2 linked regions of the Solanum lycopersicum genome follow. The protein of the gene in region 1 binds, or shares a complex with, the protein of each later gene. Links are inferred from orthologs where the notes say so. Each region holds a gene or a part of one and is shown on either strand. Other genes may lie near its edges. The genes, in order: mitotic spindle checkpoint protein BUBR1 and mitotic spindle checkpoint protein MAD2.

Region 1 (16,751 bases):
ATGGAAAGGAAATTTTGGGAAGTGAGTAGGGTCTTTAGACATGGCAAAAGGAAATATAGTTTCATGGAAAATAACATCCCTTGAGACATGGATTTTCTGAGTGGATAGGTTCAAGACTTTGTAACCCTTTGTAGCATAAGGATATCCAACAAACACATGTGGTATGGTTTTGGGATCAAACTTAGTTCTGTGAACTTTTGGAGTAGTAGGATAACATAAACATCCAAAACTCTTTAGGTGAGAGTAGATAGGTTTGTGTTTATATAAAATTTCATATGGAGTTTTATTGTGGAGAGGAAAAGAAGGTAGTCTATTTATAAGATATGTGGAAGCAAGTTACATTCACTCCAATATTTCACTGGGAGTTTAGACTGAAAAAGTAGAGCCCTTGCTGTTTCAAGAATAAATTTGTGCTTTCTTTCGACCACACCATTTTGTTGAGGAGTATAGGGGCAGGATTTCTGATGGATGATCCCTTTGGATTGAAAAAATAGAGTGGTTTCATTGCTAGTGAATTCCAAACCATTATCTAATCTGATGGTTTTAACAGTGGTGCTGAACTGGTTCTCAACCATGAGTATAAAGGCTTTAAGGACATGGAAAGCATTGCTTTTACAGCTTAGAAGTTGTGTCCAGGTAGATTTACTAAAGTCATCTACTAAGGTAATGAAATACTTGAAGTTATCATGAGTTGTTGTTTGATATGGACCCCAGATGTCAACATGTAATAGTTCAAAAATGCCAGTAGTGGTGTGTGTTTTTGGTGGAAAGGGTAATCTGGATTGTCTTGCCATGGGACATATAGGACAGAAGAAAGGTTGTCATGATGAGAATTTTGCTGGTATGGAAGATATATTTTTCATCTTCACAAAGGGTACATGACCAAGTCTATAATGCCACAACAGATCCACACTATCATTAGGAAAGGAACTAGAAATAAAAGAGTTGTTAGCAACATTGTCTTTATTACCAACAAGAGAAGAGTTTATTTCATCTGAATGAGAGTTACAAGAAAGAGATGTACATTGTACTTTATTACTGGATAAAGAGTAAAGGGAAGAGGAATAATGTTGAGCATGTGAATTCTTTTGTAAGCAATCTGAGCAGAGGAAATAAAGGCCATCATGCATCTTACCAATTTCCAGAGGCCTCTTCAGTGAAGGGGCCTGCAACAGACAAGAAGTGTTAGAAAAAGAGACAGTGCATTGAAGATGGTTTACAAGAGAGTTGATGGAGATTAAATTGTATTTGAATGAGGGGGCATACAATACTCCTGACAAGATGATTTTAGGTGTAAGATGTACACTACCAACCACTGTGATTTTGACTCTATATCCATTTGGTAATTTGACTAACATAGGATAAGGTAGATTTACTGGATTTACAAGGTTATTTTTGTTAAAAGTCATGTGATGAGAGGCTCCTGAGTCCAGAATCCATAGGTCAGTCCTTGTTTTGAAACATTCACATGAAAGTTTGATATAATCAAGAGAAAAAGAGCAAGCAAAACCACCTGCAAAGTTCACAGATCCACACACTCCATCATTTTGAAACTGATTCAGCAAGTGAGAAACTTGATCATATTGCTCCTTGGTGATACTGATGTTCTCATTTCCTTGAGGGTCATTACAAGATGTTGAACTTGATTCCTTTGTTTGTCCACTAGTATCTCCATCACAGGATAGTCTTACAGAGTTTGCTGATGTACCTCTTCCTTTATTGTTATGCCTTGGATTTGGATATGTGTTTTGAACTGTGTTCCTTGGATTATGCTGATCACGAGCAGAGCCATTTGTGTCATTAGATGGATAGCCATGCAACTTGTAACACTTTGCTCTAACATGTCCTGGTCTTCTACAATAGTCACAGAAAGGTCTTCCTCTTGGTGTTGTGTTGGAGGTAGAATAGTTTGTTTGAAAACTTCTACCTCCTGAACTTGATGAAACTGCAGCTAGAGAACTACTCTCAGTAAACAGTTGATTATTTGGTTTAAATTCTCGTTGTTTTTCCTCCTGCACTAGTAAGGCAAAAGCTTGTGCCAAGGATGGCAAGGGATTCATCATCAAGATACTTCCCCTAATTGTAGTATATACCACATTCAAGCCCATCAGAAATTGAATCAAACGTCTGTCTTGCTCTGCCTTCTGAACATTAGCTTTAGCTCCACATACACACACACAACTACACTGACTTGAAACACACAGACTGTTTAACTCCTCCCAAAGTTTCTTCATACGAGTGTAATATGTTGTGATATCGAGAATACCTTGATTAAGGTCATTTATCTCCTTCTGAGTTTGATACAATTTTGCTCCATTCGTCTGATCATATCGATCCTCCAGTTCTGTCCATAATTCCAAAGCATCATTAACATATTCAACACTATCAGTAATGTCTCGATCTAGAGAGTTGAGAATCCATGAAGTGACCATATCATCACATCTCACCCATTCACCTCTGGTCTCTTACACTCACCATTGATGAACACTAGCTTGTTCTTCACTGACAAGGAACGAAGTACACTACGACGCCATGAATGAAAACCAGTGCCATTGAAAGGAACTGGTACAAGTACTGCTCCAGGATTGTCTGAGGGATGAATGTAAAAGTGACTCCCTGCATCAATCCCAGATGAAGGAACACTGTCTAATGCAGTGCTCGTAGATGCAGAATTTGTCATTGTATTTTGAAAAACAAAAATCGAGTTTACAGAGGATCTGATGCGCAGATTGAAGAAGAAAAGAGGTAAGAAAATCAGGAACGTTCCTGCTCTAATACCATGTCAAATTGAAGAGAGCTGCAAAACCTCCATGGATGAAAGCTTGATTAAAGAGGAAGAAGAAGAGGCATTGAAAATGTGTGAACAATTTTCATTCAGTTGTGTAACAGAAAATGTGAGCAGGCTGTGGTTATATAACCACCAAAAACAGAAGCTAACCAAAACAGAAAACTATAACTAACTTCCTGAAAAGCTAAACTAACTAATTGAATTAACAACTAATTAATTACATTAACAGCTATGTGTAATGACTAATTTAACCTCAATAGAAATAATTACTGGAAGGATACACATAGAGCAAGTGTTTACACTCACCATCAAAAGGGCTTGGCAAATGGCTATGACAATGACTCCTTGACTTCCAGCTAAATGGAGTCCAGGGATCCCTAAATAGTCAAGTGTATCTCCCTTGAAAAAATGAAAGAAATATATAAGATTAAAAAAGGATACCTGCAATAAGCGCTGGATACTGAATTTATAAGGTCAATATGAGGTCAATAATCAAGTGGAACAACACTCTGATAAGAATATGAAATAGGTGGGTGATAGTGATACAAATTAATTATTGAAAGGAATAGCATGTTAAACACTAGATTCCAAGAATGAAATTTCATAAGAAAATTATATCAGAATTTAAAAATTGAAATTTTGAACGACAATTTTTGTAAAATCAATCCAAATTATGTTTACTCGAAAACCTGAGAACAAGGAAGCAACAACAACAAACCCAGTGTAATCCCACAAGTGGGGTCTTGGGAGGGTAGGAATTACACAGAACACAGCAGTGTTGAATAATAACTTTGCCAAGAAATAGAATTCTAGTGGATGTTTGGCTCATCATAAAACAAATCCATTTTGTACAAATAGTTGGAAGATATTAAGTTACTTTGGAGTATGTTACTATAGTTATTTATCTTCCTTGTAGCATTATCAACTCATCCGATCTCACCTACTTGCACATTCGACATGAGTTGTTTGGGTCGACAGACAAGGTTCCGCTGAGTCGATAACTGGAGAGGCGAGATTGGAGGAAAGAACAAGCATGGGAGTTTTTGGACTCGTATTATCAATAGCTAAGGGAAGCAGCATCTATCAACCAAGGGAAGTCAAGTTACAACGCATATATGAAAGATACCAACCTTAAGCTTTGAGTAGCCCACTCGCCACCAAACAGGTTCCACAAACTGGAAAAGTCCTGTCAGGTTTAAAAGTTCTGGAATCAAAGCACCAAGAGCAGCCAGCATAGCCCAACGACCATGCAATATTTCATAACTGTGAGTAACCATGACAACTGAAATAAGTTCGAATAGAATTTAACAGAGCTTCTACGTGGTTTCTGAACAAATAGTTTGTATGAGTGTGTGTTTGTTGCTATTTTGAGAATTTCAAAAGCTCCCCAAAAGATTACACAATGGGATCTCTGAACAACCACGCTAGAAGATGTTCAATCTCTCATTCCAAAAATGTCTGGGAGTAGAACAACTTTCATGTCTATGTGTGGCCCTAAACCCTGACCAGATATGAATTTTGCAACCCTTTGCTACTTCCCCTCAAATACCAATTTATAACTTTTTTTGGCTACATTTATGCTCAAGAAACATGTCTGCTTTTATTCCAACTAAAAGAGGATGGAATCATGTGAGTTGTGACCAATCACCTTAGGATCGTGGTTATTTCTCAGTAGGTTATCGTAGGCCCTCGCTCTGTTCATTTCTTTAGTGAGAGGCTCGTCTTTAAATGGATACATGTTCTGAAGAAGCATAAAAGGTCACAAATAATTTAATGGCATATGATGTTGCATTTTTTGGGAAAATACTATACATTATCTACTCAGAACAAAAGAACATTTGAAGGAGTTAATAAAAGCAAAATCCAATCCATACTTAAAGTAGTTTTGAAGGGCCACGGGATCCTTGCTCAACCCGCAGATATCAAATCCATAGTCCCCGGGTAGCTCCCCATTAAGATAAGCAGGATAGTCATAAGAAATTGGACCAAGCCAGCGGGGGCGATCTTCTCCATACCAGATACTGCAAAGAAGACAAACAAATGATAATAGTGAAAACAAAAGTGGGTATGCATAACAGTATAATATAGGAACATTTTCACAGTGGTGGAAAATAGATGGATGCATTACAGAGGAGAATGGCTTACCAAGAGATAGGGATTTACCTATCGTTTCTTGCCATTAGTGCAAGTGCTTTGAACTTAGCTGAATTCTCTACTGCAACCTTCTTTCTCTCTTCTAATCGTTTACGGAGTGTTTCACCGAAGGTACTGTTGGCGATAGCTTTGACAGCGGTGAAAGGAATCGCTGAGAATACCAGAACGCCGGCAAGCTGAATAGAATTGATTAGTTAAGTTAAGTGGTATTTGATGGCAATCAGAAGAAGCAAAAACACACCTCTTGCCATGAAGCCTTGTGACGCGAAAAGGGATCGAGTGCACTTGCATTGCGATACAACCTTTGGTCTTTAGGGACGGAGGACGATAGATGGGGAAGCTGAAGCAGTGTCATGACTCATGACCACTTGTACAATCTCCTTTGCCCATTTCTTCTTCAGATTCACTACTTTGCAACAAAAGTCATGACGTGGTTCCTTTCCAGCCTCAAAACCCAAAAGTAATCTCTTCTTCTAGCGCAATTACAAGAGATTCAACCAATCAAACGCAATTACAAGAGATTCAAATAGTTTTTAAATAAGGTTATTGAAGTCCAAAATTTTAAAATATACGACTCCTACTCATTTTCGTTTTAAGTTGAAAAATGTGATAGTAGTAAATTACCTTTAAAAGAAATTATAATTGAATGCCGAGAACTTTTCAAACAATCAAATCGTCTCACGTATGTGACTTTCATTTAACAAAAAAACTTGCACATTTGTTTGCCTTTCTCCGGGTGGATACAATATCAGCCTTGGTGGGGGTGATAATATATGCCCCTATGTGATGTGAGGAAACAAACTCCATTCCATATATTTATCGTTGAACACAAGTTATTCTAATCTCTAACGATAACTACTAGGCCTGAATCTCAAATAAAACCATCCAATACTCATCAACTGGACCCATATACCCTTAACAAGTGATATGCTTGAAAACAAGTTTGCTTCAATTGATTTTTGTATCTTACTATGACTAATGTCCAGAGCTTTATAATGAGAAGCTTGAATTTAACGTCGCTCAATATCTACTTGTTTTATTCGTCTGTATATATATGGACATGACATTTGAACTTACCTAACTAATGCTTCATAAAGCAGTGAAGATATAACTAATATAACAAACCTGAAAAGCAGATGGAGGGTTTTGTACTAGTAATTAACTGTAATCATTCTAAATTGGAGAGAAATACAGTAGACAAGTCCAAGTACAACAAGAGTGAAATCCTAATAATTAATTAATTAATGGTCATAGGTGCGGCACTCGTCGGCGTCAGGGTTATTTTGACAGTAAGGTTCAAGGGGATCTTGATTAAGCTGAAGCTTGATGCGCAAATGCACCTTAGCCTAGCTAACTTCTTCCACCTCATCCCATGCCACCTTGCACTCGTCCGATCTGGCGTCTTCACTGCATACCTCCTTAGCTTCCTTCACTTTCTTCTCTATCATTTCCGTCAGCTGTTTTTCTCTCATCTGCGTCCCCTTATACTTTGGTACTCCTGCTGATCCACTCATCATCATCATCACCTTTTGCACTCCTTTCCTCCTGGATCCAGTTACACTAGCAACATGAATTGGGAATATAGATGCCTGCTTCAAGTTCAAAGCCATCACAATTATTTATTATAGATGACTTTTTTCGGATGTCTGTTGATTTCTGGTGGAAAAAAAAATGTACAGATTTCTTGTGAAATTATAACGAACAATATAATCTCATATCTCTATCACAATCAGGGCATCATTTAGTACTGCTCAACTAACATAAAACGACATCGTCTGGTATTTCTCGGTTTGGAGATAAGGTTCCATCTTCAGCTTGGGGCCCATGGGAACAGTTCTTCCACCTTTGCCTTTTTCTCTTCTCCTCTCCTCTCCTGGGTGGACTTTCAGTTTTATCAAATTTTGCTTTGATTTTTTTAGTTTTTAGTTTTTACAAAAACGTGCATCTATTTCAAATCAATTCTTTTACATGTTCTAAAAAATTAATTAATTTTTATATAATCTTACAAAATGAGCAAATTGTTATTTATACACGTGTGTTATAGAGATGGCAATGGGATTGGATGTGTGTGCCGAGGGGTATGTTTATGGCTATGTTTATGGTTTTAAGGTTGTGTGGTGCGGTTAGATGTGGAGCTGATTGAAGTAGGCTTTTTAAAAATTAATGTGGAGTGGGACGGGTTGCAAGTATATGTAATTTTATGTGAATTCAAACTTATTTTTAGTTTTTACATGTTATAAGAGTGATAGAACATTATTTATTAAGATAATTTCTTTTAAGCTACTAAAATATTTAAAATAATAAATAAAAATGGTTTAATAAAAATAATAAAATTTCTTACCAATTTCCCAGTTGACCTCTTAAAAATAATTTTTAGGCCAACTACATAAACAAATCCCTAAACTTGTTGGGTTTTTCCCCTCATGTACCTCAACTACGTCATTTTTCAATTGAATCATTCAACCACCCATAATTTGTTTCTTTAAAACACTGTTGGTTGATTTTGATCAGCTTTTCTATTGTAAATGTCTTCAATTGTGTTCGAATTGTAATAATTTTGATTGAAGGAATGAAGACTAACTGTGTTAGTCTCATTTGTTTTCTAATGTGTTCAAATGACTCAAGTAAAACATAATTATTCTCAAACATTTTCACTTTCAATTGGACTAATTATTTGTGGAACAACATATGTATCCTCTATCAATACCCCTCACAAATCTGATTTCACATCAGACAACAGTGTTTGATTAAACAGAACAAATTATGGGAGTTCAATTATTCAATAGGAAAATGACGTAGTTAAGGTACCTGAGGAAAAAAACCTAACAAGTTTAGGGATCTGCTTCTGTATTTGGCCTAAATTTTAAATTACTATCCTATTAAATTAATACAACTTAATGAAAAGATAAATTTATTTTTATGAATTTTATCTTAGTATCAAATATAATTAGAAAAAGAAAATATTAAAAAAATTATGGGAGGCAGGTTGAAAATGAAAAGAGTTGTCATGCAGGGCGCGGCGAGGCGCGGCAGATTAAAATTTTTGCGGGTTAAGCTCAACCCGCAACACCCCACCCTACACCACCGCATTGCCATCTCTAATGTATTTTTAATAACTTAATCTTTGTATTTTTTAAAAAATAAATGTTTGAAATTATAAATTTGTATTATTTTTATAATTAACCACTAGTCAATAAATAATATTGATTAATTATTATTTTAACGAAAAAGACTCATAAATATTCATAAACTATCTGAAATAACTCATATTTACGTTTAAACTATATTTCAGTTCAAAACTATCCTTCCCATAATACTATTGGGTCAAAAATATATTTCTTATTAACGGAATTTGTTAAATGTCATGTGGATGTCACATTCCATGTCAATTTGGTTCTACTGCCACATAGAATAAATGGAAAAGGGGTAAAAAATACCCTTAAACTATTCGAAATAGCTCATATTTATCCTTAAACTATATTTCGGCTCAAAACTATCATTCCCGTCAAACTATTAGATTAAAAATATCTTCTTATTGATGAAAATTGTTAAATATTATGTGAATATCAGATTGATTGCAAATAAGATTTCATTGTCACATAAACTAAATCTCTAAATTTGAATTAAATTGAATTAAATATTTTACTAATAGGTCATATTATTAATTTCCGGGTAAATTCCAACGGTCTAAATTCGATGTACTTGGCCCACTTTGTTGTTTGTAGTAGCGCACTCGTTAAAAAACATTACTTATCTTATATTCAATCATGGTGGGACCAATAATATTGCGAAAATCTGGAATTTAAAGGAGGGTCCAACGGCTATGAAAGGAAGGGTTTAGGGCACAAAACAATTTCAAATTTGAAAGAAGGCTCTCAAAAAAACACCACCACAAGGAAGCAGCAAGAAGAAGAAATGGAGAAGGTAGGAGGAGATTACGTATTGGATAAGGAGGCAGAGTTCTTAGCGTCGAAGCAAGAGACTGGTCACGAGTGGGAACTCTTCAAGGAAAATGTCAGACCTTTGAAGAGAGGACGCAACGTTAATCTTCTCAATAATGCTCTTAAGTCTAGTACCGATTATCAACTCAAGAAATCTCTTCTTGACAAACGAAGGTTCCTCTATTTCTTCTTCTTTGCATTTTCATGACATTTACTCCTGAGGTTGGTCCAAAATGCAATTACTATTCCATCCCGCACTAGATTTTGATTAAGATGTACACGCTAGTTGTAGAATAGTAGCAGTTGCTGCATCCCTTATTAATTTTTGAATTCAACTCTTTCTGATTAGGGAATTTATTGAAGCAATTGACAAGTACAAAGGTGAAGATCCTCTTCACCCATGGCTCCAGTGAGTGCTCTTCTTTTCAGATGCAAATAATTTTTCAACTCTTATATCTTCTACTAGCATTTAATGAGTCAATCTCTGTTATTGAATAAACTGCTGACATAATTTTACATTAAAATTGTGAAGGTGCATCAAGTGGGTGCAAGAGGCTTTCCCTCCCGGTGGGGACAGTTCTGGACTTATAGTTATTTATGAACAATGTGTCCGCACCTTTTGGCACGATGAACTATATAAGAATGACCTCCGTTACTTGAAAGTGTGGCTGGAATATGTGAGTTTGATTTCTCCACATCCATTCTTTTGCCCCTAAATCTTCTCATCATGCAATTTGGTAAATCAGTTTTCTTATTGATGGCTCTTTGCAGGCTGAAAATTGTATGGATGCTGAAGTCATTTATAGCTTTCTGGAGGCTAACAAAATTGGACTGACACATTCTTCATTCTACATAGCCTATGCTTTGCACATGGAATCTCAAAATAAAATTAAAACAGCAAACGAGATCTTCAATCGGGGGCTATCTATGTAAGTTGTGTTTCCATTGAGCCTTGGTTTAATTTTAGCCGTAAAGTTAGGTTCTTGCATAGTTAACATTGTGTTTCACTTCACACTAGGCAAGTGAACACGTCTTGGTTCCAGAGAAGTTATGCTATATGTTGTCTATGATGTGAGATGCATCATTCAAATGGTTTATTGAATTGCTGTCTGATATTTTTGTTCAAATAGCGTTTGATATGTCAAGTCTAATGATGTCTACGAAAGTTGCATTAATTGTATGCTAGTATTGAGTAATGTGTGGGGGCTGGGGGGGGGGGGGGGAGGGGATTTATGTTTGAAGCTTCGCCAAAATGAGTTCAGTGTTAAGTATGAAGCTGCACGGATAAGTATGTGGTGTCCCCTTCATATTGACCTACTAATTTTCATACCTTGAATACTAAGACAATTTCATTTGATAAGCTCAGAGGTCAGAACTGTGGTAGATTACATTGCTTACGGTCCCTTATTTTATGTTCTTTCAATATATGCTCATGTGACCGAATAATAAACTAAAGGCCGTGATCGTATGACAGTGGTATGCTTCTAGAAAACTTTATAATTATTAATTGCCATATGATGAACATATTTGATATCCTTATTAAGGAAATTTTGTATAAGCCGAGTAATATGATTATGAAGAACTACATGTATCTTTTTGAATTATGAAATGATTGGTTCCTTTATAGGCATCAATTGAATCAGATAGTACCATGTCACACAATTATGTTAAGCATTTGTACAGGATGAACAACAGAGACGTTATCATTGAGAAATTTGTGCTCTGGAATTAATCATTTATTTAGCTAATATAGATATTTCAGGTATGGCAGCATGCAAAATAGCCAGTGCCACTGTTCATTGAACTTTGCTTAATTACACAACCTAATCATGTTGTTTGTAACTTGTATAGCATGATTTTCTACTAAGAGCATTTCATGCCTTCAAAACAGCAAGTCTCTGTATGTGTTTCTAATAAAATGCTCTAGCTATCAACTGTTGACATAAGAATATATTGAAATATTTATTTCTTGTTCACATTTGCCTCATTCTTGAGGGACCTTTTATATTCTCTCTCTACTTGTTTTAACTTCTGATGGGGATGTGAATGCTATGATGCTGGCCAAACTTGCTGGCAGAATAATGCTACAGCAAGGTGAAAATTCTAATATATTTGGCATGATATTATTGTGGATGCTCAATTGGTTTTAGATATTACCTGACACCTAAATACCTTTGGGGGTAGTTTGGTTGTTGGATAGAGTTGTGCAGGTATTAGTTATGTAGGGTTCAATTATTTACGTATTACTAATTCATGTATTAGTTATACCATCTTCAAAGCTGCATAAAATAATACATAGATTGACGCCTAACTAGTACATGTTTTAGTTATGTGAGATTGTAAACCGTAAGCAAAAAACCATACTTGATGTGCTGAGTTTTATACATAGCAACTAAAATGCTGCCAAAAATGGTACTAGTTTATGCAGATTTTAATATATGAATAATCTAACCAACAACTAAACGACCCCTTGGGCTGCCTCAACAAGATTGTGGATGCTCTTTTTTCAAGCTTTCTTAGCCACTAATGAGTCTTTTCCATTAGAGATACAGTTAATACAAGTACAGAACACTGATTACACCAAGTAACCTTCCTCCTGCTTGTTCTCATCCACTTATAAGCCTATTTACTGACTCCCTCAGCTGGTTTATGATTAAAATTTCCGTCTCCTATGAATCAGGAATGCAGAACCTGAAGAGAAATTGAAAGTATCCTACAAGAAGTTTTTCAGTCGTTCAATGGGTCGCCCCAAAGCAGCAGAGGTATCAATTATTGTGACGACTTAAGTCCATTGTCGTTTGCTTTGATTTGAATTTGTGACGATTTGTATTTCAGGAGGAGATAACAGAACACCAGCTTCCAATGAGAAGCTTTGGCACACTGTTGGCTAGGGGGGAAGCTCGTAAGTGCATTTCTATGTCGTAGCTTCAGGGTGTCTGCTTGCTTTGGTTAACATTGTTTTTGCCTTTGCAGGAAACCAAACAACAGGAACTTCTGAATTGTCCCGGAAGAAAATGAAACCAGATAGGTAAGTGTGAGTCACTATTGTTTTCTCCCAAGTTACGTTCTTGTGTCCCTGCATTTTTCATAGTAACACCATGAGTTAAACAAATCTATGTCGTTATTACTTGTTCTTATCATCACATAGTTAAGCTGCTATGTCAGGCAAGAGATCTGATTCTGATGAGTTCTTGTTTTAAATACCTTAAATCCTTTGCAATGTGGAAAAGAACTTTTTGTTGTTATTGCTGCCTATTCCATAACTTGAAGGAAAAGGAGTGTAAGGATGCTGATAACAAGGTTGCAGGAAATACTTACCTTTTTGCATGCCCAGTTCTAGTAGAAACACTGGCTCATTTTTATCTATTTTGCAGAGCTCAGGGGAGCCTATTTTCCATTTACAAAGATGCAAATGCCGGAATGTCATCAACTCTTCAATCAGAAATACCAAAGCTAGAGAATACATCATGGCACTGTCTTGGTGCCCGAGCAGATAGGAACAAGGAGAATCAGGCAATCCCTTCAAAGTGGACATCTAATAAGGTCCGTTTGAGTCCAGAGAGTTCAAAATAGAATATTTGATTTTTTGTCCAAACAGATAGGAACAAGAAAACTCATTAACAAAAATATTTCTTACAGATTCCTCAAAGACACGGGCTTAGAAATCGAGGAGCTACTACTACCACCACTCCGTGCCTAGAGATCTTTGTGGATGAGGAATGTGCCAAGTGAGTACCCATATAGATACAATGGTTTTTTGAGTGCGAACAACACATAGTTAACACTTAACAGTGTGTGTACATGCATCAAGACAAGGAGATTTTCAGCTATTGTAATAGTGTTAGTTTGTGGATTGACTTTCTTTGTTGCCCCCCTTCATCTTTGGCAGAGCACAGGAGAAGGACTCTGCTGCTGGTGTAAAGGCTTCTAGTCTGCAGCTTAGACGAGGAGATGACAAAGACATAAAAAAGTAAGTATCAAGTTTGTTTCTTCACTTCAATAAAAAGAAAGCACCTTTTTGACAATGCACTTGTATGCAGGGAGACTGAGTTGCTGAGGGAGAATCCCCTGCGTTATTTTCCACCAAGCTCATTACCAAGATGATCGATCTCACAGAAGAAAGTCATCATTGTGTGCTGGGGTTTCTCATCTCAGAGTTACTCAACTTGTATCTTAAAAGTGTATGGAGACAATTCCTCTTTGCCCAGTGCAAGCACCGTTACAGATGTTCTAAATATATCGAGTGGAGTTGAGGAGACATTGTTGTATGTTTGGTTTTGGCAGGCTTGAGCCAAATCCTCCAGTATTTTGTTATTTAGATGGAATGATTTTATATGATTGCAACAGTTATTGATGTAGTATACAATTGCGCTTTCTCGTAATTAGCTCTTGGTTAAAGAGTTCTGCTTCACATTGGTTTTCTTATTTTGTTTATGATGATTAATTTTGTTGTTAATAATCCCCATCCAACAATTTTAAAGGGTGTGTACACCGTGAATTATTTCCTGGTATCGAAAGAGTTATTTACTACTTGAGCTATGGACTTCAAAATCCTGCCTTTAAAACCTTGTCATTTAATCAGACACTCCTTTTTTTTAAAAAAATAAAATTCTTTTTTATATCAAGGCAAATATTAACTGAACCACGGAAGAACTGTGTATAATTTAAGAATCTTAAATAGTACTTGTTAGTTTTAAGGAATGATTTCTTTTTCTCGAAAGAAAATCAAGATTCTCCTAAGTTGTTAATACTTCCTCGGTTTCTTTTATATATTATTCTTTTTTATAAATAGTTGTTCCATACTTATCATTTCATAAAATTAGTGCACCTTGTTTATAGCCTTGAAAATATATATTTCATCAACTTAGAAAAATTAAATAAATAATTCATGTTTTCATTCATTAAATTAATTAATCAAAATAAATTAATTCGTATTCATTGATTGAAAACTTAAATTCTAAAAATTAAATAAAATAAAAGGGTAAAATTATATCATTTCTTAATGTAAATTTAAAATAAAAATGTGACATATAAAAAAGAAATCGAAGAAAATACTATTTATTTATCATTTTTTTTTATAGAAACGAAAATGTGGCATGTTTTTAAAATTTATATTAATATTTTTATATATATAGAAAAGGAGGGAGGTGTGGTTTTCTTTTACCTTTTATTTTTTTTTTTTAAAAAAAAAGAAAAAGAAAAAAAGGTATTGTTTTCTTTTAATGGGAAAAGGGATGTAGTAATTAGTGAGGTGAGTTGTAGCGAAGTGGAATTCTTATTGGGTGGGTGACGAAGTAATTAAAAACTTGGAATTTCGTTGAAAGTGTTTGGAGCCTTAACCTCTAAGACACCTAACGTGATTATTAAATTGGGGACATCCAGAGATCGGGTCCCAAAATAGTGAGTCGGACCCTAGTTTCTTCACCCCACAATCTCCGTCGAACTGGCGATGATCGATAACATCGATGATATCATCAACTGGGACGATGTAGATCACATCTTCCACAACGTTCTAGACAATCCCGACGATGATCAATTCACTCTTCATGATTCCTCCCCACAGTCATTCCAGCAGATCGAGCAGCTTCTTATGAACGATGACGATTTCGGTCTTGTCTCTGATCCTCAGTTTGCTGCCGAATCTCTTTCTGACTTCCTCGTCGATTCTCCTCTTCACTCCGATCATTCTCACTCTCCTGCTGAACAAGCCATTGGATTCTCCGATCCCAAGGTTTCAAGTGCCGATCAGGACAAACACAAGGTTTCCCAGTCGCCTTCTGACGGCGACGACGAACTAAACAACCATGACCCCGTCGATAAGAAGCGCAAGAGGTATCTCTCTAGAGTTTTGCCCCTTTTTTCTTTCTAGTTTATTTATTCAATTTGTTTATAATTCTAGCACTTCTCTTAGTTTATTTATTCAATTTGTTTATAATTCTAGTACTTCTCTTAGTTTATTTATTCAATTTGTTTATAATTCTAGTACTTCTCTTTGCTTATAACTCTTCTGCACACACGATTTACACTACTGTGGCTTCTTTTACTTCTCGTGTTGTATCTCTTCTTTGAAAATGGTTGACCTACTAGCAGAAACAAATCCTAGTTTTGATATCTTAGTTAGTGTAACTCATGTTTATTAAATTTGCTTCATGTAAATTATCAATGACCAGAAAAATCTTTGCAGTTCCTGTGTATGCAAAAACCATATCCACATAGTGCCTTCTCAGCCAAATCGCGAATCAGTATTTCCAAGGAGTTCCTTTCTATAAGATTGCCTTAATTTGACATCACACATTGACTGTATGAGCCATTCATTTCATGATTTGATTTGTGACGTGTTAGAACATAATGTTCATTCTCTATTGATTATGAAACAAAAATATGATTCTCTTTTCCGAAGACATACAGATTTTATCAAAGCACATGATGCTGCAACTTTTCCATTAGTTTGCAATCATGAACACACCCCCAAGTGGGAAACTTTCCTGAATAGCAAACTACTTCTAGACTTCTTAGAATAAGAAGCCATGTCCTTGAAAGATTGCACTTATTTAATGTGTGATGGATATATTATTATGTAATGTGCGCATTTATCATGCTTAAAATTGCATAACATCTTGTGCATTTATCTAGAGTAGTTTAATACACCCCTCTCCTCTTCTATTTCAAAATGGTGAGAGGATTGTACTTATCTAATCTGTATGTATATAGCAGCTTAAAGAAAATCTCAGTCACAAACTTAATTTTTGTTCTCCAGGCAATTGAGGAATAGAGATGCAGCTGTGAGGTCACGAGAGAGGAAGAAGTTGTACGTTAGGGATCTTGAGTTGAAGAGTAGATACTTTGAATCAGAATGCAAAAGGCTGGGGTTTGTTCTCCAGTGCTGTCTTGCTGAAAATCAAGCTTTACGCTTTTCTTTGCATAATAGCAGTGCTAATGGTGTTTCTATGACCAAGCAGGAGTCTGCCGTGCTCTTTTTGGGTAAGTGCATAAGAAACATTCTTGTCATCTGTGGCTAAAATACTTTCTTTATACCACTTTTTGCTCTGCTACAATTTTCTGGACTTTGCTTTAGTTGGCGTTTGAAGCAAGAAATAGATGTGAATGTCTTGACATTTTTCCATCTTGCCATGGTTATGTTGGATAGATATTTTCTCTCAAATGCCTACATTAATAGATGCAATATGAATTTGCAGAATCCCTGCTGTTGGGTTCCCTGCTTTGGTTCCTGGGCATCACATGCCTGCTCATTCTACCCAGCCAAACCTGGTCAGTTCCAGAAGAAAGTCAGGGAAGCAGAAACCACGGGCTTCTGGTTCCAATAAAGGAGGGAAAAAAGACTAGTCGGATTTTGTTGTTCCTGTCCTTCATGATGAGCAAAAGATGCAAAGCTTCAAGATCGAGGATGAAGCTCAACCCCCATCCCTTGGGAGTTGTGATGTGACTCGTTGTGATCAAATCTTTTCCCATAGGTGGATCATGGTTCCTTTTGAGTTCTTTAGTTTTTTATCAGAGATTCTCTTGTATGTGTCTTGCTTTGACATCTGAAGGATGAAGTTCACTGTTATTAGTTAATGACTTATGAGCTATATAATATCTATGCAACTTTTTAATAGTTCCAACCGAGATTCGGTTGTCTTTTCCATTTCTCAATGTTTATTTTGTCCCATAGTGGTAGTTAGGAGCGGCCACCATTTCATCCTCGTTGCTGCTATGAAATCATGTGTAGATGGATATTAATTTGGTATAACATTCAGCATCTTTAAACTATGTTGAAACTTTGATGGTGGATTAAACCACAAGGTTGCAGACAGTGATCTGTTTCTATTATTTTCCGTTGTTTGAGCAATGCAAATAGTAGTTTTGAC
Region 2 (16,543 bases), on another chromosome or scaffold:
CTTTTCAGAATTATAATTTTATCTTTATCTTCTCTACCTTACATCACATAGTCACGCTTTCTTTTGATCGAATCATTTTGTTCATGTAATAATAACTCTAGTATTACTTAATTGAATCCACATTAACTTTTGTATGAATTGTTCATGTATTAGGTGGTTGTATCTATCCATATGTTTATTGCCCTCAACAATTTTAATACTTGCGAATTGTAAATAAAAACCCAAAAGAATCAAATCTAATCTACAATTATTTTTATATGTTTAATTTAATTTTTAAAATTTGGAAAATTGAACAAGAATGTTAGTAAAATGAGGACATTGTGTCGACATTAATTACTACAAATGACACACACCCAAAAAGGTATACAATCTATTTTTTCTTCCATAGTCCCTTTTATGGACTATACCAAATTTTACTGTCATATAAGCTACTTTTATTCACCTCTGATTTATACTTTCTTCGTTTACTTTTAACTTATTATATTTAAATTTAATATATTTATTTTAAAAAAATGATTGATATGAGCTACACCTCATCTCCTAATAGACAAGATATACTTTTTTTTAAATACAAATTGATCTCTATGTGTAGTGTTAAAAATAGTAGACTTACATATTCATATGTCGTTTATAATTTACTCTAGGTGTAGAATCTTTTGTATTATCAAGATGATTTTTCTAATTAGTATCAATTTGGTAATAGTGATAATACTCTCTCAAATTTGTATATATTTTTACATTTTATACATAATAAAATCATTAATTTCATATCATACATATAAAAATTCTTCATATCGTCAATTGAGATAAGAAGGTGCAATTTTGATAAAGAGAAATTTAAAATCATCTTTACTTCTAAGAAAAAAAAAACATTTGAATGATCAACAAACTTGTTTTTGTTTTCCTTATTATAATTAACAAGTGGCACTATGATTATACGCCAGCCACCTTGTGAATCAATAAAAAATTATGTTATCTATTTATGATTAAAATAATTTGTATATAGAGAGAATAGAAATCAAATTTTATTTGATAATGTATCTACTTTTTCAAAAAAATTTAATGAAAATTCTGACTTCAACCATTGACACTATCACTCATATGCATGTTGTCAAATTGAGTTCAATATGCACGCATTAGAAAAAGAGAGATTCATGAACAACTTATCATTTCAAAAGAAATTTCACTATATTTCTACTTTAATTTGTGGAAACTACTAGCCAACTCATCAAAAACTTTTTTGGCTATAGTTTTCCTTTTAGTTAACCCTACCCAATGCCGCCACTTTGAATCTTCTTGATCTTATGTCCTTTTAGGTGGCTTCCTTCAACACCAATGAGGCCAACAAATGGTAGGTGATGGAAAGGTATTCACAATAGATAGACTTAGGGTTCACCATATAGGTAACATAGGTGGTTATCCATCCAACTCGACCTATTTTAAACGAAACTTACATAAATATCACTAGTTTATGAATTAACTATTTAGATATACTCTAATTTGTTGTATTACATATCTTGTCGGATTTTGGTGTCTATAAATTATATATCTTGATATTATGTATTTCGGATGTATGTGATCAAAATTACGTGTAATTTGATTCAGATGGAGTAGATTCTATCCAAATGGATTCACATGTATCTGTGATACATAACAAAATCTCGCTCGCATCTCTCCCATATCGCTCGCTACTCTCCCATGTATCTGCCATTCCAGATACATAGAATCACACCAATTATAGAATAATAAATTCTTTATTATTTTATTTGTTAAACGTTGGAAATGTTAAAAGTGCCCCAAAGCATGTTGTACTCTTTGTAAATGTCCCTAACATCTATAGCAATATTGAATACAAACATTTAACTAATACCAATAAAGAGTTTAACACTCTACTCTTTATGAATGTGTTATGTGTGTGTATATATATGCTGCCACTAAAAGTTGTTTTGTTTGTAGTATCAATAAGTTAGTAAAATGAGGAAACAAATGAGCACATTGTGTCAACATTTTCTTTAAAGTACTCCCTCCGTGCAACAATAGTTCATTATTCTATTTTGGGATGTCCAACAATATTGTTCACTTCATAAAATCAAAAGATAATTTTACACTCCTACTTCATTCAAATTTAATTGTCTTTAATTATAATCATTTCTCAATTATATTTTCATTCAAATTTATCTTTATCTTTAATTATAATCATTTTTCTATTATAATTTTTAAAATATTATATTTATTATATTTAAAAAATAATATAATAAAATTACCTTTTTATTTATAATTTCTTAAAAGCGTTAAAATAATAATAATAGACCACTATTGATGGACAAAAGAGTATATTTCAAAGGAGAAGATGAATACCACAAATGACATAGACCAAAAAAGAGATACACAATTTAATTTATGACAGAATGAGTAGGAAATCTATTTTTTCTTAGAGGACCACCACCTAATGGACTCTGTCTGTTCACTTCTATTTATTATATTTATTAAAAAATAATAATTGAAATGATTATTTTACTATACTATTTTTATTAATTAATATTTGGTGTTAAATCTTGAAAGAATGATTTGAAAAATAAACAATTAATAGTAAGGATAAAATATGGGAAAATGTTTTTTCTTCATAAGTTAAAAGCGACAAGTAAAAATGAGAATAAGTAAAAGTAAATGGAGAAAGTAAAATTTATAGCGGGTAACGTCAGCCCAAACAAAATTTCAAATTCCAAAATACGGCACAAGACACTCTTATGTTTCTTATGAATGCGTTGTTAATTATATATCAATTTATGCTAGTTTCCTCTCGTACACCCTCAACTTTATAAATAGGTCCGTCTATGCTCACAACGAAGTGCCCTTTGATAACGATTGAACAAGTCATTACCAAACCTCATATAATGAGTTTAATTAAGCTAGAAATAGGAAAAGCCCAAGTATAACCTAAAATTGAAATATAATTGGCCAACTTTCACATATAGCAAATAAAAAATTCATATTTGTACGTTATAACAAAGTTTGCATAATTGCGCTCCACAGCAAACATAAAAATACATATACAATTGAAGCAAATTGCATAAAACGAAGTGTATAAAACAAGAAAGAGAAAGACACTTGAGCAGAAAACTGTATAAAAACGAAGTGTATAAAATGAATTGTATTATTATAAGTGTATAGAACGATTATATACAATTTGAATTTGTATAAAATGAGAAAGAGAGAAAGACAAAAGAGACTTGACAAGGAATATACAATTGAATCGAATTGTATAAAACGAGAAAGAGAGAAATTAGATACAATTTGAAAATTGTATAGAACGAGAAAGAGAGAAAGGCAAAAAAAACTTGGCAGGGGAGTATTCTTATTGTATAATTATAAGTGTATTAGGACGAAAATATATGTACTTGCATGTGTATATACAATTTTCTCACGCTTTATACAAACAGAAACGCAATTTATACATTTCGCTTCTGTTTGTATAAGTGAGAAAGACGAGGGTGGCGAGCGAAATCTGGAAGAGTGGAGAGAGGGGATTAAAAATATATGTATTTATACAATTTTCTCTGCTTTATACAATTAGAAACAACTTTTATACACTTGTGTTTGTATAAAAAGTGAGAAAGCGAGCGAGAGATTAGAGGAGAGTGGCGAGTGAGATATTTGGGAGAGAGGCGTTTGCTATGGAGCACAATTAAATCAATCCCTAACTACTCTATTTATTTTACGTTATTAGTTTGTTATTATATGCCCTTTTTTTCAATATAGTTGGTGCCTTTTAGCTAAAAATAGGAAGAGCCCAATTTGTAGGTCTTGTTATAGGCTTAGAATATTATCGAATATTTATTCATATGCTATTATTTATACAACTCAATCTATTATAAATTAAAGGAAAAATGATAAAAAAAAAAAAAAAAGAGAAATACTCCTAAACTATACAAGTCAAAATAAATTTACCTATCGTTACGTTTTCCGATCGAAAGTATCCTCAATATTATGATTTTTAGTTTAAAAATATCCTCTAACTATTCAAATGAACCAAAAATATCTTTCTTTTCGACTTTATTCCAAAATAACGAAAAATGAACCAATTTACGCTAGGGTAGTTTTGCTCTCTCTGAATCTGAATGATACATTTTCTTCGTGACTCTTAAGAATAATATGATAAAAAAAAATTTAAAATTATGCATGCCTTGACACGTTTTATTACTTATTTTGATTTTACCACACCAAATTTCAATTAAGGGCCAACATAATAGCTTTGAAAAGAAACAATAAAATAAAAGGTTCAATTAAAAAATTCATATTGATAATTGAACTTTATTTTTTATAAAATTGTAATTTAAAATAATTAAATGAATCTCATAATATTCAAAATTAACATTGACTATACATTATGATACATTCAAAAAATTGAATATAGCTTATCTATACATGAGTTATACACTGACTATACGTTATGATACACTCAAAAAATTAAATATAATTTAAATGTACACGAAGTATGCATTGAATATACGTAAAATGTACACTGATTATTCAATTTCGATCAGTTCAAAATCTCCTCTAAACAATCTCAAGTTTTAGATATGAAATTATCTCAATATTTTAAATCTTTTGATATATGATTTGTTCGAAAGAATTTATATTTATGGTATATTAAATTTTAAAGGAAGAGGAGGAGGAAGAAGGACAATCAGCAGAAAAAGAAGGAAAGAAGAACAGAGGAAAGACAACAACCAAAAATATCGCTATTGTTGAATGATCATTTTAGGTAACTATAAAAATGGGCTAAAAAATGAAAAGTAAAGCTTATGGCCTGTCGTTTGACATTTCACATGATATATTAAGAAAATATTTATCAACTTAAGCAATAATATCTTTTTTACTGGATATTTATAATATAAATTTAAGATATTTTATATTGAATAATTTATAAAACACATATAATACAAGTTTTATTCATTTATCATTTATCACATTGTAAAATTAGGTCTTAGACCTAACTCACACCCTAAAAGTTAGCTCAAAGGGAGGAGGATTGCCTAAGCCTTAATAAGGAGTCCACTCATCTCGTTAACCACCGATATGAGACTTTTGTCATTCTGTAACATCCCATCTCACGCCCAATGCTTAGCATCTGGTGCGTGGACAATTTTGATTTTGGGGGTCCCAACATCGGGTGAGTAACTCACACCCCAAAAGCTAGCTCAAAGGGAGCAGGATTGCCCAAACCTTATAAGGAGTCCACTCATCTCATTAACCACCGATGTGAGACTTTTGTCATTCTTTAACCCTTATAATACATTATTTCAATTTCTTGCCAAACAGGTATTATATATTTCAAATACTTATAGCACATTTATATTTGCATGCAGAATTCACTTTGAATACATGCAACAATTATCATAGCATTGTTATAATTGGTAATAAATAAAAAGTATCTCTAAAATCAGTAATTATTTATTAAACGGAAAATGACTTAAAATATCCTCATCTATTCAAATTGGTACAAAACTAGTCTCCTTCCACCTTTTGGCCCCCGAATACCCTTAATGCCAATCTTTTGTCTCAAAAGGTTGAACGGATGACAATTTTATATCAATTCAAATAGTTGAGGAACATTTTAGGTCATACTCATTTATGAAAAAGTACTTTTCCTATAATAATAAGATCAATTTTTACGTATATTGTATGTTATACCTATAGTTAACATAATTGCGCTTCATAACAAATTTTATATTTGTTATGCATCCTTTGATTTGTACAATTCGCTAGACACTTCCAATTTATATATTAATTTGTCCAGTTTTGTATAAACTCATTTATACAATTGGATAATTTGTATATAAAATGTTTCCTGTAATTTGTATATGTACGTGTTCTTTGGATAAGTGTATACGTGAAATCAATATGCAAATCTCTCTCTCGCTTTTTATTTGACACAAATTATACAGTGTAATTAGTATATTTATAAATCCAGAAAGAGAGAAAGACAAAAGAGAACTGGACAATGGAAGATATGTATTTGTACAAGTATAAGTGTATAAGACAAAAATATATATATTTGTGTAACTATATATATACTTTTCTCTTATTTTATACAAACAAAACACATTTCATACATTTGTATACCGAATGAATAGTTGTATACCAAAAACAGATAATTATATACTGAACCCGATGGCAAAAAAATGAGATGTTTGCTACGAATTACAAATAAAATAAACTATGACTATAACATTTAATTTAAACTAATAATTTTTTTATTTTATATAATTTTCCCTAATAATAATAATAACAAATCACCAATTACAATTGGACCCGATTGCGGCCCAATTTTTGCACTAAGTAGTGGGAAATTTAATATCAATTCAAATAGTTTGAGAAACATTTTAGGTCGTAATCCTTTATGATTTTTTTTTCTATAATAATATAATAACAAATCACCCGACCCAGTTGTTGCCCAAACTTTTGCACTAAGCTCATTTTAGTAGAAAATTTTATATCAATTCAAATAGTTAAGAAAAATTTTAGATTGTACTCGTTTATGAAAAAATTATTTTTTTTATAATAACAAATCACCCATTACAGTTGGACCCAATTGTGGCCCAACTAAGCCCATCTCAGTGGGAAATTTATATCAATTCAGATAGTTGAGGAACATTTTAGGTCGTACTCGTTTATGAAATAAAAACTTATTCCTATAATAATATAGGGGAAGATTGTATGGGATGACAAACATCCCTAAGTAATTATATAATAAGGGAAAGTTTAATTTATTTACTTTCTATAATTATAATTTTTTTATTTTTTTGCCATAATTAATGAGACCCATCACCTTTTTTTATACTAACCGTAAAAAATCTTTTTTGATTTTGTATATAAATTTATACAAATCAATTTTATCTCTCCTATTTCTACTCCACCTCTTTCTCCTATAATCACTCATTCACTCCGATTTTGAAATTCAAATCGGCAAAAATTTCACCTACTCGCTACGGTATTGATTTCATCTTTCACAGGTAACCGCCAAAATTTAGCCGTGAATCAATTTTTATTTTATTTTTTCCTTCTTCAACAATTGTATATATATTGTGCTTCTTAATTTTTTTTATTTTTTTTGTTAAAATAATCGTTCTTTCTCATTAGATTATAAATTCTTCAAAATCAGAATAGATGAATCATCTTCATTTATGAGGACTACCAAATGTATGTCATTGCATGTCAATTTTGTTGACAAATTACTCTCGTTTTTAATGAATTTAACTCAAGATTTTGGGGTCTATCCATATAAGTTCAAGATGAGCAATCAATGGAAGAATTGAGATCCAAGAAAAAAAATGACTCAATGGTAGTTCAAAAAGTTATTAACAACGTCATAGCTAGCGGCATTAAAATTGTCAAAGGAGGAACAAAGAGGAAAGCAATAACCAGTGATTCACAGGAGAGTGAATCTGAAATTGACAGATTCGAAGAACATCAGGATCAGGAGGTAGTGTCTTAAAACACAATTTTAATCAATCAAGATATCTAATAATTCTAATAGTAATCAATCGCGAACATCTTCATCAGATCTTCTTGATTGCATAAAATAATTTTGTATGTAGCAATTTGTATATTTTGATGGTTACATACAAAATTGCTTGAGGTATATGTAAATTTTTTTATGTATTAACAAATCTAAAGAATATCAGGTAATTGTATAAAATAAATTTGTATATAGCGATTTGTATATTTTGGTAGTTATATACAATTTTTTTGAGGTATACGTATATTTATATATATATATATATATATATATATATATATATAAGTACTATATTTATATACATATAATCCTATACATATAGAGTTTATATTTTGATAGTTATATACAAAAAAATATTTGAGGTATAATATGTATATTTCTGTATATTTAAGTACTATATTAATGTACACATAATTATATACATATAGAGTTTATAGTTATATACAACCATATACATATAGAGTTTATAGTTATATACAACCATAAATAGTTCTTATTTATACAAATAGTTTATATGTGTAACGTATATAATTGAAAATATTAATTAATTGTATAAATATTCGATTTACATATTGACATATACTTTTTATCGTTTTCATAGGGATTTATTTTCATTTGCAAATAACCACGAAAATACGCCCCCCACATGCAGTGGTATACATATACAACTCATACATATAACATTACTCGATTTTTTTAACCAACAATTAGAATAGAATTGTTAATATACAATTTGTTTATATTTTTATGACCAAATATAACTACTTGCAATTTTAAAAATTTCAATTATATACTATGCAAATCAATCTTATTCTTTTTCACACTTTAAAACATGAAGTTTTCTTAAAAGAAAAATATACAAGAATATTGACGAACCATGAATTTTTCATTTTATATTTGCTTTTGTGGTACGAGGATAACAATTGTTATGATGTTTGTATTGTTATAGAACTCTTTTTGAAAAAATATTTGATTTGAAAGATTAACTTGAATCATGGGATTATGCAAGTATTTTGTTACCTTATTACCGTTCATGTATCCATTTATTAAGTAGAATATTACATAAATTATGAAAAATTGCACAAGTACCCTCCTATACTATGTCTGAAATCACAGAGAAACACCTTAACTAAATAAGGTCCTATTACCTCCACCCCCTCCCCTTACACTTATTTTTTGTAACTTTGTGCACCTTTTTAGCTTACGTGACATTCAAATATCTCGTACGTGTCTCAATCGCGTGGAGCCACGAAGTGTGCCACATAAGACAAAAAGTGCTCAAAATTACAAAAAAAAAAGTTCAGGGGTAATAGGAAGTTAATTTAATTAAGGTGTGTCTCTAGAATTCCAGTTATAGTCTGGGGATACTTATGCATTTTCCTCATAAATTATAAACAAAAAAAACTTAATATGCAAATTAAATGCTCCATAGCAAACTAAATTATACTCGTAAAATATAATTATATAAGACAAAAAGTGCTCAAAATTACAAAAAAAAAAGTTCAGGGATAATAGGAAGTTAATTTAGTTAAGGTGTGTCTCTAGAATTTCAGTTATAGTCTGGGGATACTTATGTATTTTCCTTATAAATTATAAACAAAAAAAACTTAATATGCAAATTAAATGCTCCATAGCAAACTAAATTATACTCATAAGATATAATTATATAAACTATACTTATATAAGTTATAAATTTTCAGTGTGGCCCAATTTTTGCACTAAACCCATCTGACCGTTGTTTTGTGTCATTTCCAAAAACTAGCCGTTGCTTCTTCCACTATGTTTCTCAATTCTCATAAAAACCCTAAATTCATCTCTGATTCTCTCACAAGCAATCAATCTCCATAACCATTTTTCTACTTCTATTTCCTAATCTGAAAATGGCGTCAAGAACAGCCTCCAAAGACATAATCACACTTCGTGGTTCCGCCGCAATCGTCAGTGAATATTTTGGCTATGCTGCAAACAGGTAACAACTCGGAATTCCTGTTTTTTTCATATCAAATTTTGGTTATGTAGACTTGCACGTTGTTCACATAGTGATCGGATCTCAGATTTAGATAGATTTCACAAAACCCCTAAATTTGCTTTGAAAATTAATTATCAACCTGAAATTCAGCCCAATGAAATTGGGTTTGAGCAGATTAGTAATGAAATTGGATTGAATAGATTTCATCAATCGATACGTTGTTGATTTTCCGATTGATTGAATAAAATGCTTTGTGTTCTTCGTTTATTTACCTGCATTGGACTAAAATGGGCTACAATAGAGCGGATGAATTGATTTATCTGACTGATTCCAATTAGTTTTACGTTGGCCATCGGCCATTGTTGATTGATTAATTCCTTTTATGTTCGTTGTTTATGGTTTTGTCTGAATGCTGATTTTTTTTTTTTGAATTTGTGCGGGGATTATGTATTTAGCATTTTGTACAACAGAGGAGTATATCCTGAAGAAAGTTTTAAGAAAGTGAAGAAATATGGTCTCACAATGTTGCTTACTGAAGATGAAGGTGTCAAGACCTTTGTTTCCAACTTGACTGCCCAACTTGCTGGTAAGTTGTAGAATTTTGACGAGGCTGTAGATTGGTTCAGATCATATATTAGGTAGTGAAATGATTGTTTTCTTAACGATTTTGTTCATGTAGAGTGGTTGGAAACTGGAAAGCTACAAAGGGTGGTTCTTGTCATCATGAGTAAGGCCTCTGGTGAGGTATTAGAAAGGTGGAATTTCAGTATCGAAACTGATAGTGAGGTTGTCCAGAAAGGGTAAGATGTTAATCATCTTTGGTTAATAATTGTGGATTGAAAGAAGTGTATGTTGGAGTTATTATGGCAGAAGACCTATAATTTCGTTCGTGTGCTTAAATAGTCCAGAGCCAAATACTCAACCCTGGCTTGCTTTTGATGTCTTCGTATGTTGGATTGTTTGTTAAATAATTAGCTAAATGGTTTATTTGATTTTCCAGTGTTTCAAGAGAGAAAAGTGATAAAGAAATAATGAGGGAAATTCAAGCGATTATGAGGCAAATAGCGTCCAGCATCACTTATTTGCCGTGCCTTGAGGAACCATGTAAGCATCATTTGTGCTTGGATGTTACGATACAATGGCAATGTTGCTTTTTTGGGATGTTTCTTGATGAGATTTCTTGTTTCATTTGTGTGTATGGCTGTAGGTGTGTTTGATGTGTTAGCATACACTGATATGGATGTTGCAGTTCCATTCACTTGGATTGAGAGTGACCCTAAACTGATTGCGAATCCACAAATGGTGAAACTGCACTCTTTTGACACTAAGGTAGGAGCAATTTGCTGCTTGATTCTGATACGAATCCCCTGGATATTTCGGTGACCCTAACTCGAGTTTTGTTTTCTCTATGCAGATTCATAAGGTTGACACATTGGTTTCATATAAGAATGATGATGAATGGGATGAGTCCTAGACCATGGATCCTTGTTGTACCTTACTTTTGTTGTCATTGTGAATCATTGATTCACATTTTGTATGTTAGATTGTGTAAACCTTGAAACATCTATTAGTTTGTATCCTGAATGAGTATTGAAGGAAATTGAACAATTAGATCAATTTCTCCGTGTGAACATGTTTTTTGCCTTGTGAAATATATTTGGGTACTTTTTTACACGTCCTTGTTGTCTACACATTGCCATAGCACATAATAATGTTGTTTGCGTCGGCTTGGATTTATACGCAACTCAAATTATGTTGAAATTTTGGTTTTTTTCTTTCTTCCGTCTCCCCCAACTACGCAGGCAATTTCTTGAACGGAGAAAATAAATACTTTTTTTGACTTTTGAAATTTGCCTTCAACATTCTCTAAAAAAGAGAGGTAACGGGGGAAGAAGATCAGTGTGCCTTTTTTATTCTTACATACAAAGTTATCATGCCGTTAAAAATAAATAATCAATTAATGTCATGATCTTTTTGTCGAAGTTAACGGATTGCACATAAATTATAGTGTTTTTAGTCTAATAAAATAAGAAAGTAATAAAAAAATTTGGATCCTCATGAATCGGGAAATTTGAACCCGACGTGAATCGAACACGCAACCTTCTGATCTGGAGTCAGACGCGCTACCATTGCGCCACGGATCCTTGGATGGCTAAAGTCTTCCATTTTTGATAGTCATTACATCTCTGTATTATTTTGGGAAGTGGATGAAATAATAACAATAAGAAGAAGAAGAAGAAGAAATAAATCTTTGATGTTATTTTTTTAGTTTTATTTCTGAAATATTTATTATCAGCACAATTGTTTTTTCTTTAAGGATATTTATGATTTGGTTTCAGTCAGTTTTCGTTAAAAGTTAAAATATAAAAACAAACAAATTTAATAAAATTTTAAATTAATAATATCAAAGTAAATATATATAATTTGCATTCATCAATTAGTTATTATTGGTTCAATTTTTCAATGTAATTTTATTAAACATGATATGCATCGTTTTTAATTTTCCCTATAAGAAAAGACCTTTAATCATTTGCTAATTTATAATTTGGTATTAACATTTAATTAGGATGACTATAACATTAAATCTCTACGATTTATAAATTTTATAGTATTTTTTTTGAATTAAATTGATAAGAAATACGAAAATATATATCTAGGTACATCTCACAATAGTTTAATTTTGAATAAATGAGTTTGCATTCGAGTTTATATAAAGTTTATTAACCTTTTAAAGATAAATAATTTTTTCATCAAAAAATATGTGAAATATTTAAATTTATTTTAAAAGGTCATTTAGAGCTGTCTAAGATAGACACTAGCTTAGTGAACCCACTTTAGCTCACTCAGGTCCCGTATCTTGACAAATATTACACCAACTTTTTAGTTTGACAATATATTGAACTTCATGTAGTGGCTCATATGATTTATGTTGATTTTAGTATTTGCATACTTCAGATAAATTTTTTTGATAAATTTTTTTCCAGTTATTGCATGACTTTGTACTTATATTTTTCAAATCAATATTGTTTTATTTGAAAAAAGAAAAATTATTTATTTTTTCAGATTTTCAACTTTTTAAAGTCACCACTTTATTTTTTGAGAAAAATCAAGAAAACTATATTTTCAAAAGAAATAAACAGAAAAATCATTTTGAAAACTTTAAAGGAGTTCGGGAATTCTTATTAGGAAGATTTTGAAAGCATCTAAGACGTTCGCTTACTTGCAGTTATCCAACAACTAATTCATTTGGCCAAACAAATAACTAATTTGATTTTTGAGGTAACGAAAAATACTTTAGAATTGTTTGAAAAGTGAAGCACTACTGTGACCAATTAACTTGTAAAAATTTATTTCAAAGTTATTTTATTCGATTGGTTAAGTTGTTAAAACCGAAGCGGCGTTTTGCAAGGATTTGGATTCGTCAATCCTAAAACTAACAACAATTAATAAACAAGTAGTAAAGTGAGAGAGAAAAAAAGAGAGAGGGAGATAGGGTCGGGTCCAAAGCCAACTTTTGTTCGCCTGGACCGATATTTGGACCCATTTGTTTTTGCTTTAGGCTTTGGGCCTATTTGATTTGTACATGTCCTAAACTACTAAGATAATAATGTACAAAGGGTTTAGGCGCAAAAATAATTAAATACACTAAGTTCATGCCACTTTTTCAAATCTCCGACTTCTTGGCCTGTTTAGAATTTTTGCGACTTAGGACCTATTCACCGATTTCGGATTTTTTTCTTTGAACTTTCTAGCCGGCAAACTCGATAAAGGAAGTTGAACCTTAAATGCAAGAGGAATGGAGTCAGAGGTAGATTTCACATGCAAAAAAATACAAACGCATAAGCAATATTCATAGCAATTCTTTAAGAAAAAAACAAGATTAAAAAAAATTGTAGTATTACGACACCTTCAGGACAAGAAACTCAAAAAAAGTAAAAAAAAAAAAAGGGTTAGAAATAAAGGGGAAGTAACGACACACCAAACGTACAATTTTAATAAATTACTGTCGATCCCAAAATGATAAAACAAACATCAATAAGCAATTCTCCTCTTTCCAAATGACCTCAAAGGATATTTTAATCTAACATCAAGCCGAAGATATATTAATTGAACCGACCAAAGAAGTTCAAACTTCGCATTGAAAATTACCACGTCTTGACAGTGAAAACGAGGAGAAAACTTTACAGACCATACAAAAACTTGGGGATCCCACATTTTCTAACGAGAAACAAGAAGCTTAACACCTAGAAAACTTGAAACTCAATTGTAGTTAGATACAAATATACTTGGACCATAAAAGTTACAGAGATGAACACAAAGATATATTATAAGGACACTTAATAAACTACCCACACAATGTGACCTAAACATACTATGTTAATGGGTCTAATATGTCTGCACTAAATAAGATCCGGAAATAACGAGCACGCTGCTGAACCGAAACTGAAATTGGAAGCTAGATTCACATGAAATCTACCTAGGACCACAAGTCACAAATATGTTTTCTGCCACAAAGATGCAAGCCGACTGAATCTTGACATCTAAGGAGACGAAACAAATTTTAACTAGCGTTTAATTGCAATAAGAATCAAACACTTGAAGCATGAGAGATGTCTTTCACAAAGATATAACTATAAATGGAGACGAAATAAATTTTAACTAGAGTTTTATTGCAATAAGAATCAAATACTTGAAGCATGAGAGATGCCTTTTACAAAGATATAACTATACATCAAAAGGCAGTGGGCACTAGAAGCAAATAACAACAAATGGAATAATAAAACTTACTTAGAGCAAATAACAACAAATGGAATATCAAAACTTTCGCAGTGAGCTTCTTGAGAGGATTTTGTACTTGGGTAAAATTACATGGCATTAGGGGAGGGGGCCTAAGATAAAGGGTTATAAGTAACCAAATGAAGAAGAGACAAGTAACATCATGCTTCTTAGAACTTCCTAAAGAAAGATCAATTACAATCCAAACAAACAGGGCTTAACAAAATAAACGAAGTAGCAAAATAAAACATTTATAGACATATTAAGGAGCAAAGCATATCACATATAGAGGCAAATATGTGTCAGCAACACTTAACACCAAGAGCGTAGAACTAGATAGGCCGTAACACCATAAACTTGGAAAACAAGTAGTTGCATCAAACAAATAATAGATAACATGACATGTAGTTCCCGTATTAATCCGCTTCCAATGCTTTTACCTTATTCCCAAGTGTGAACAATATTAACAGCAGGAAAATATAACGACATAAGAAGTAATAAAGCTTTTAGTCTTAAAGCCGATAATATACGAGAAAAGAGAAATCACCACAAAATCAAAACCAAGAAACGAAAGGAACCACCACTCTAAGATGTATAGCAATCCAAAAACTATCCAATCTTCTTCTTCTTCTTCTTTTTTTAACAAATAGCAGAGGAGCGACGATCCTATAATAACTCTTCCGGCATTCAATAACATTATCTTTTAGATAGAAGAGAAGGCATTACTTTATTTTAACGCAACGAAACGGAGAAAATAACAAAAAACAACATCTCAGATAAATAGCTTTCGAAATCGACTTGATGAATATATTTATCACATTGAAACAACACCAACTTAATAGTAACCCTCAACGAAACTAAAAAAACTTTTCAGTCATTTAGAGATAAACGAAAAGATAGGAAGACGACATACCTCTTCCGGGGCAGCAAACGAGCAAGAGGAGGCAGCGGGTTCCTTCCAACAGCACACACAAACTTTTGAGAGCTCCGCCGAGCAGCTAGAATGTCTCAAAAGAAGAAAGTGGGGCCTAAATACCCTCACTTATTTTGAAATCTATCTCTATTAAAGAAAACCCCCAAGTTCTTCTCTCAGACGCTTGTTTTCCGCCTTCCATCCCCTCCTTGGGATTTTTTAGGGTCGGGGTCAAAATGTTGATAAACCGGATAAGAACTAAAACCCAACAATTTCAAATTCCTAGCTTGAACAAGAGAATATACCAAATTGCGTCTATCGTCATATCCCTTTCTGATGCGTGTACGCGTGCTGCTCTTGTCGCAAGCGATTGACGCCTTCTCTTGCCGTTTTCTGGATTCCCGCTGGTGATGAGGGAAGAGGTCTTGGGTCGGATCATCTGCTTATGCTGAATTGTCAAGTGGGAGTTTCTGGAAAATTTTGGATTGGAATGTTCTGTAACATTGAACATTTACATTGAATTTGGTAAAACAAAATGGCAGAATAGAATCGAATTGAGTTGATTAACAAATTCGGCTAAAATTTAGATAAATTGAACTCACCAACAAGACAAAATAATTAACTCAAGCAAAAACTAAACACTCAAAAATATAAACTATTAAATTCCCCGAAATTTATTTTAACCAAAGTAAGACTAAAAACTAAAAGTCTCCTTGAGACGATTTTTGAATATTTTATAAAATATACTAATTATATACGTAATTACGTAAACTATATATATATATATATATATTATGAAAAAGCGCTAAGATCAAATAAAAATAATTTGAAAACTATTTTCTTTTTTTATAAAACTTAATTATTTCAAGTAATTTAGAATTAAGAAGCTCGTTAACTAACTCCTATCGGGAATGGTCAAAATTTGGTGTCAACAAATATATATCAACTTCATGTTATTTTATTTAGTCGTTGCATCAGCATATTTTACAAATTCAGTGTGTTCAAATGTCATGTTTATTATGTATATTTTTCATGCTCGCTACATTCAAAATACTGACCACATAATTCTTCCTCATTGTGTTAGAATATAAGTTCAGGCACTCAAAATTATGCCCGCGGTTAGCGCAGATCCAATCAATGTTGCAATTGCTAGTAGGTGAATTTTCATATTCCGAGGACAATCTTATCATTTATTTCAGTATTTACTTTGAGTTTCAAATATTAATACTTAGCTAGGAGTTTGTCATAGTAACTCATTTAGTAGAGATTTTGTAAATTCAACTTATGTCTTAAACTAGATATTTGTCGTTTAATAGACTACTTCATTTTTGCACTTCCTTATTTTCGGTCATTATGTTATCTT

The links.
Region 2: mitotic spindle checkpoint protein BUBR1 (region 1) and mitotic spindle checkpoint protein MAD2 share a complex: the UniProt entries of both Arabidopsis thaliana proteins name them as parts of the mitotic checkpoint complex. The link is inferred for Solanum lycopersicum from reciprocal best matches to the Arabidopsis thaliana genes BUBR1 and MAD2.

What each region holds. Positions count from the first base shown.
Region 1 is NC_090803.1:68,274,193-68,290,943, reverse strand, and holds mitotic spindle checkpoint protein BUBR1, read left to right. Parts: upstream 1-8,666; 5' UTR 8,667-8,857; coding exon 8,858-9,057; intron 9,058-9,232; coding exon 9,233-9,292; intron 9,293-9,415; coding exon 9,416-9,560; intron 9,561-9,654; coding exon 9,655-9,812; intron 9,813-11,563; coding exon 11,564-11,645; intron 11,646-11,718; coding exon 11,719-11,785; intron 11,786-11,856; coding exon 11,857-11,911; intron 11,912-12,257; coding exon 12,258-12,426; intron 12,427-12,522; coding exon 12,523-12,611; intron 12,612-12,772; coding exon 12,773-12,853; intron 12,854-12,923; coding exon 12,924-12,987; 3' UTR 12,988-13,294; downstream 13,295-16,751. Other genes in the region: chlorophyll a-b binding protein 7, chloroplastic, read right to left, coding at 3,095-3,187, 3,919-4,051, 4,663-4,809, 4,952-5,118, 5,184-5,297; bZIP transcription factor 60, read left to right, coding at 14,333-14,715, 15,641-15,864, 16,080-16,327. UniProt on the Arabidopsis thaliana protein: Essential component of the mitotic checkpoint. Required for normal mitosis progression. The mitotic checkpoint delays anaphase until all chromosomes are properly attached to the mitotic spindle.
Region 2 is NC_090804.1:8,532,995-8,549,537, reverse strand, and holds mitotic spindle checkpoint protein MAD2, read left to right. Parts: upstream 1-9,220; 5' UTR 9,221-9,402; coding exon 9,403-9,491; intron 9,492-9,946; coding exon 9,947-10,077; intron 10,078-10,170; coding exon 10,171-10,291; intron 10,292-10,491; coding exon 10,492-10,595; intron 10,596-10,698; coding exon 10,699-10,820; intron 10,821-10,905; coding exon 10,906-10,965; 3' UTR 10,966-11,165; downstream 11,166-16,543. UniProt on the Arabidopsis thaliana protein: Required for the execution of the mitotic checkpoint which monitors the process of kinetochore-spindle attachment and delays the onset of anaphase when this process is not complete.